Linked DNA regions of Caenorhabditis elegans. The protein of the gene in region 1 purifies or fractionates together with the protein of each later gene. This does not show direct contact. Each region holds a gene or a part of one and is shown on either strand. Other genes may lie near its edges.

Evidence for each region.
Region 2: the proteins of txt-18 (region 1) and C10A4.6 fractionate together in Caenorhabditis elegans (co-fractionation; one large-scale study listed by BioGRID). This does not show direct contact.

The regions. Positions count from the first base shown.
Region 1 is NC_003280.10:6,342,036-6,346,021, reverse strand, and holds txt-18 (transcellular chaperone signaling (x)cross tissue), read right to left. Parts: upstream 1,951-3,986; 5' UTR 1,715-1,950; coding exon 1,700-1,714; intron 1,639-1,699; coding exon 1,407-1,638; intron 1,292-1,406; coding exon 1,138-1,291; intron 1,095-1,137; coding exon 988-1,094; intron 940-987; coding exon 665-939; 3' UTR 507-664; downstream 1-506. Other genes in the region: C32D5.8 (protein-disulfide reductase), read left to right, coding at 111-183, 2,317-2,602, 2,648-2,792.
Region 2 is NC_003284.9:7,388,788-7,391,980, reverse strand, and holds C10A4.6 (G protein-coupled receptor), read right to left. Parts: upstream 1,412-3,193; 5' UTR 1,382-1,411; coding exon 1,264-1,381; intron 1,217-1,263; coding exon 1,063-1,216; intron 1,017-1,062; coding exon 910-1,016; intron 866-909; coding exon 591-865; 3' UTR 539-590; downstream 1-538.

The DNA of each region.
Region 1 (3,986 bases):
TCTTCTTATTTTTTTCAATTTGATCGCAAAATTCGATCGAAAACGTGACCTTTACCTTTTGAACGGTGTATTCGTTATCTCATCGGTTTCCCCATCATTACTTGACTGTGATGGGGAACACGGCGAATTCGAATTCGAAACAACCAGCAACGAGTGCCGCGCAGATGTCGGTCGACCCAAAAGGTAGTGAAACACTGAAAAATTTGGCAAGTTTCTCAGCAGGTGACCTGATAAACACGAAAGTTGTTTCGTTGCGATCGGGTATTATACGTTTACTTTTTGATTAGTTGTACATGGTTGGTTGGTTAACATGGTTGGTTAACCAACCACCACGTCATCTTATTTTTTAGATATCAATTCCATAGTGTACGATGAAAGTCAGTCGAAAGTATAAGCCCAGTTTAGCATTCAAGTAAATTTTTCAATAACTAAGATACCGTTTTTATATGCTCACTAATGTTTCTTATATAGATCACACAATCAGAAGATATTCGGAGCATTTCGTAGTAACCTGTTCATTCCATGAAAAAAGTATTTGCGATCAAAAATTCAGTGGTTTCATATAGGAGAGACCATGATCATGAATAAACAAACAAGAGTGTCTCGCTTTCTAGTCATAGACTATCACTTCCAATCTATACTCTTTTTTATCATTCCTTTCAATTTATTTACTTTCTTCTTTCAACCTAGACTTTTCTTCTTCGATAAACTGGAATAATCGAACTTTGTGAAGCATCAACTTGTCGTTTGGCACATCTTCTAAAAAGTTTGTTACATAGGCTATGATGTCTGCGTGTTTTTCAGAAGTTGGTAGATTTGCTGTTGAGTTAGGTGTTTTTGCAGAGCAGGTTGAAGGAGCCGAAGAATTCAATTGTATACTTGTACAACTTGTAGATTGCTGACATGTAACCGTATCTATAACTTTTTGAAGCCAGTCATCTGAAAAATTACTTGTAATTTACATACACTTTAAATCACAGTTCAGACCATTCAACTTGTCTTCTGATAGCTCATGCTCAATCTTTGGCTTTTTTGCTTTTACTTGTTGATCATCGGCTTCTGCATTGCAAGTCGTTAATGTCAATTTTGACAAGCTGGAAAAAGGTTTCCGTTTCGGAAATCTAGATCATTTCATACCTGTCTGTTTTTTCCAAATAAGGAATAAGGAATTGTAGACAATCGTAGAACGGAACTATAGACTTGGACTTCTCATCATTCTTATCACCACCATTTCTAATCATTTTTTCAAAATCATTGAATAGGTATAACCATAACTTTTCGGCGTTTCTACCTGTAAGTTGATGTGGTGTTCATAAACATGTTTATTCCTGTTCACATGTTTACAGTCCAAATCAAAAACAGTCTTTCTCTTTTCGTAAATCACATTTTCAAAACTAAAAACTAACCTTTCCTCATTGCAAGAAAATGTCCACATTTTTTCTCTATAATATAAAACGCTTTCTGTCGAAAATCACTATTCTTCTTGCACGGACTGTATAATTCTTCTCTTCCAGAAAACAATGATATGAAAAAGTCGATGTCAGATCTTCTATACGCGTCATAATGTGAGAAAGGAGGGATCTTTGATGGTCGACCCATTTTTCGTTTCTGCTCCGCTGAGCCAAACTCTAGTAAATCCTAAATTTTTTTGATTTGGAAAACCACGTGAAAAACGTAGATCCTAGCTTTTCAGACTTACTATGAACTTCTCCATATTTTCAAAGCGGTAGAGACCAAATATTAGAAATAAAAGTGGAGAAACTTATGAAAATCGGGATCGCCAGATGTTATTAGAAAGTGAAGAAATGCTAAGAAAATATATGAAAGTGCGCAAAATTTGAGACGCAGATTTTAGAGCGTCGAGAAAAAGACTCGTTTCGAGCGACCCAGTTCAAAATCTCCAATTATTGTAAACTATTTCCTCCCTTCTCCAACATCTCTCTCAGTTTTGTCAGAGTGTTGTGTGTTGACAACACCAACAACTCCCCCCGTTTTTCGTTTTGATTCTTTCTTTTCATCACGAATTCAATTTACTGTAGATTGTCATACAATTCATTCCAATAATGAAATGGAAAACTAGTTCAAAATATTCAAAACCAACATCACTAAAAGTGAAAGATATTTGTTGATCTTAAAACAACACATGTTCCTCATACATTTCATCATAGAGATATTGACTCATCCTCCGCATCATCCTCATTTTCCTTAGTTTTTGTTCCGAAAGTTTCATATAAAAACCCTAGGACTAAACTCTCCTTGTCCCATTCTATCAATTTCTCAACTCTTATATTGATTCTCCAATATATATATTTTCAGGAAAGAACATGTCTCTTTTGGCTGGAGTGAAACTTGAAAAACGCGACAAAACGTTGGTCGACGCAACTGAAGCTCTAGCTGGAAAGGCCGTCGGATTCTACTTCTCGGCTCATTGGTGCCCACCGTGCCGCGGCTTCACACCAATTCTCAAGGATTTCTATGAGGAGGTTGAAGATGAGTTCGAGGTCGTCTTCGTCTCTTTCGATCGTAGCGAGAGTGATCTGAAAATGTATATGAGCGAGCACGGTGATTGGTACCATATCCCATATGGAAATGATGCCATCAAGTAAGTTATAACTCTATAAAATCCTCTTTAACTAGTTTTTTCCAGGGAACTTTCCACCAAGTACGGAGTTTCCGGAATCCCAGCTCTCATCATCGTCAAGCCAGACGGTACTGAAGTAACAAAGGATGGACGTAACGATGTGCAAAATGGAAAGGATCCAAAGGCCACCGTCGCCAAGTGGAAGGCTTAAGCCGAATCTGCCGACATAATTCTCTGCAATGCATCTTTCTCGATTTGTTCAACCATTTTGAAGCCATTCCCATCTAAACATCCATTTGCAATACCCATCTCTCCTATGATCCTAAAATATTTCTCTTTTGTATGGAAATTGGCAGTAAACAATAATAAATATATTTATTGATTCCATGCGATTCTTCATTTGTTTTTCAGTATATCAATTACGAATTGTTCTCTTCAAAAGTCAGTGTAAACAAAGGGAATGATGTGTGAACGTTTAATTGGTCAGTTGGAAAGATTTTAACTTGTCCATCATAGCTGACGTACAAGAAAACAATTGTTCTTTCTACGAAGGTTTTAAGATATTTAACAGCTCAAAAAATAATTATGACTACTAGAGATCTATAGATACTTGAACATAGTAAGCAAACACTCTTTGAAACCACAACATAATTCTGAAAATACCCTTTTTCAGACCACAAGAGTACATCACACCTTATCCGGTCTTTGTTGCCTTGACAACATCTTCAATCTCTTCTTTTTATTCACTATTTCCCTTTTGGATTTTGCTGCTCCATTCTTCTCCATTTGCGTCACAACACCACCTGCCTCTCGTTTCCGCCCATCTGACAATGTTTCTATTTCTCTTTCATTCACATTCCAAAGCTTCTAACGATTTTTTTCGTCTTTTCAGCTTATTACTTTTCCAAAAAAAATTAATAAAATGACGATAGCAGCTGCACACATTCAATCACCTTGTCTTCTTCGGTGCGCGGTGACTCGAAGAGTAGTCAGACCCCGCCCACTTTTCAGTCCCGTCTCGTCGTTCTCAACCTCTTTTTTCTTATTCATCAATCTTCTCGTTTTCTTCCCACTTCAAATCACACAAACACAGGCACAAAATATTCTAACTTGACTGATATTAGCTGTAGACATAAATCTATATAATAGAGAAGAGACGAGAAAAAGGAAAAGATGAACGAAGAAATTGAAATGAGCAGTATGGTAGGTTCTGGAATAATTGAAATAAAAACAATTATATTTGATAATTGAACTATCACGTTTTTTAATCAATCAACTACATTATTTATTGCCAACATTTGGTAGTAATAGAGCTTCTACGACAACACCCAAAATAGGAAAGGGAAAGTAGACTTGTTTTTCATTAAAATTGATTGATGAAGAAAGAGGATCAATATCGGATTTG
Region 2 (3,193 bases), on another chromosome or scaffold:
GATCTACCTGTAAATATGCTGGTAATCTTTTCATGAGAAGGTTTTAAAACATAGAGATTTTCAGTTAAAGAGAAACACTGTTTGTTGTTAACGTACATAGAGTGAACCTTTTCTTGTGACTGAAATTTACATGAGGTTTACTGACCAAGTTAAATTTGCATTGAACAATTTGGTGTAATCACTGAGCAGGTTTACTTTGCACGGACCAATTTGGTGTAAGCACTGACCAACTTTGAGTTGCACTGATCGATTTCAATTCGCACTGACCAAGTTTAGTTTTAATTAACCAAATTTTGATTTGAACCAACCAATATCATATGCGCTGACAAGATGTATGTGAAAATGTAACAATGTTCTTTGAAAAATTCAATAATCTTGTCATTTAAATTACTTAATTAAGTAACTCTGAACATTTATAAGTTTTTTAAAACAAATTTCACCTGCACTTTACTATCACATTAAACTTTATAAATCCCACGCGTTTTCCCGTTCATGTACGCCGTTACATCATAGCTGCAGCTGATTTTGTTGGAATTCGACATTTGAAGTATTTATAAAAACAATGTTTTAGTGTCTAGACAGGAATGAAACTATACAGTTAAATGGATGTGATGACTAGACATTTCATCCAGTTGGCGCTCATCGTTGACTTCCCTCGGTTGGGCTTCCGTTTGCACTGCTCTCAAACCAAAAAGAAAGATAAGAATGCTATTTCCATATGCTAGAGTTGCCATATTAATTGTTATATATCCTTTGACACATCGAAGTGTGAACACTGCAACTAATGCCCGGAATGCAGTGATTTGGTTTTCGTTCACTTTGCATGTACCATCACTGACACTGAGGATGAAGTCGAGTTGAGTGTCTTTAAAATCAAATTCAGCATAAAACTTTTCGAGCAAAAAATACCTCCTGTAAAAGACGAAATGTGAACAATTTCCACGAGAACAAAGATAAAGCGAACTGCACAAATAATTGAGATGGGCCAGTGGAGTCTTGGGAAAGATGTAGAGATGCTTGAAATTCATTATGTGATACACATGTAAAAGTACAATTTCTCACCCCAATACGACACACTGAACAGCCAAGAATACACTTAAGACCAGATCGAAGGTACGTATGATACCCATGTAGGTAGCAACAAAGCTGTCTTGTTTGGGGAAACAAATGTAGACCAGTTTTCGCGGGTAGTGTGGATCGACTCTCGGATAGGTCTCTGAAAATGTTTAATTGATAAAATTGGTTGATAATTTATATACTTACTCTCCAGATATAAAATGGAAATATAGAGGCAAACAATGGCAACTGAAAATATGAGAAGAGTTAGACGTAAAGTCATTTGAAGAGCATTTAGTGAATTTGAACGCAAGTCTTTAACCATTTCTTTTGGTAGTTTGGTGAGATTCTGAAAATTGAGGTTTTTTTCACAGAAGATAGTTGTCAATAGATAAGATTTAGAGAATATGAACGTTCAGTGATATATTTTTTTAATAGCACACAGACAAAAACCAAATAGACAAAAATTGTCTCAACATTAGCTGTAGTTTCTATTTAAAAACTGAACAAAATGCAAATACAATCACATGGTTTTTGAAGCGCCAAAACCGTTGTAGCAATTCTGCATAATCTTCCTCACAGCACTCATTTCAGTACAGAAAGCCGAGAAAATTACAAGCGTTTCATTAGCATCAGAAAAATTCTGCCTGCAAAAAGAATGCGAGAACGAGCGATTGTGTAAATTAGAATGGAATGGGATTTGGCACCACTTTTCAAGAAATATAAAATGTTGGGCGTGCTGGAAAGAGTATGCCCCATACTTCACGAACTTATAATTTTCAAAAATATTTTCCAGCTGCTTCTTTTAAGCGAATATACTTCTTGATCATGAAATTGACCGTTTTTTTTAGACGAAAAGAACCAGTTGACATAACAGCTCTCCTGAAAGACATCTTGAAATTTTTTAGATACCATATTTTTGCAATGTTTTGCATTCTTATTATAAATGCTCTAATTGTGAGATGCGAGCGTTAAAAATAAATTTTCAAATTTGTTTTGCATCCTTATTTGTATTGCATTCCCATTTGTTTTGAAGAATTTTTAAAAGATGTTAGCTGCTTATTTTAAGAAAAGTCATGAACATGTTTTAATTCAAACGTATATTTTATGGTAAGAATTTGAATTCGATCAATGTTTCACTCAAAAAAAAATTAAATTGTGTTCGGCAGTTCGGAAATTATGTATATTGATTTATCGAAAAAATTTTAAACTTGCAAAAATATATCAAAATTTATAGATTATCAAATATAAACTATGAACATAGAAATATCCATTATAACACTCACACTATAAAAACTATGTACACTTTTGATCATTTTTTGAAGTTTTATTTTCAAAAGCTGACAAAAATTATTAAACTTGGTAACTGTCGAATTGCCGGGTTGCCGAATTTTCAAACTGTCAAAACTAAACTGCCGATTTCAAAGAATATCTTAATTGAGTACTTGTGTAGTGCACCATTCTATCTGTTCATTTCTATTTAAATTATAATTTTATCAAAACGTGAAATTACTTTGCATTTTTAGGCTTAGAAAAACACTACATCGAATCCTACTAAAAATTCCAATAACTTTCAAACCCATTTATATTCAAAATATTAAACAATTCAACCTTGACATCATTTGTCATTCTAGTGTTCCGTCAATCAGTTGCTTTAAAAAGGCTTTGAAATTTTTTGAAATTTTTTTGAAAGCTTTGAAATTTGAGGGACAAGTATAAATTTTGCAACAAATCATAGATTAATGTTTTTAATTTTATGCATTTCGAAAATTTTAAAGAAATTTATACTGTCGATAAGCATCTAGTTTGGTTGTTGTGATTACCGCGCACTTCTGGTTGTAATCAAAAGCATAGAACAAACACTGTAACATAATCTGTAAACGCACTAAAAAATTGAAAAACACGTTTCTTCCAATGTGAAACAGCACAATATTTCTTCGATGGACAGAAAAATAGTTTAACAATTCTTCCACATTTTTTCTTACTTTGCTGACCACATTTCATTTTCTTCTTTCTGGAAATTATTATCGGATAAATTTTCTGATCTTCAACTGCAAAGAAACAAAGGGCACGCAACTTTCAGAACATATTCTTGAAATACACGGAAGTAGGATAATATTGAAAATTTAGCCATTGG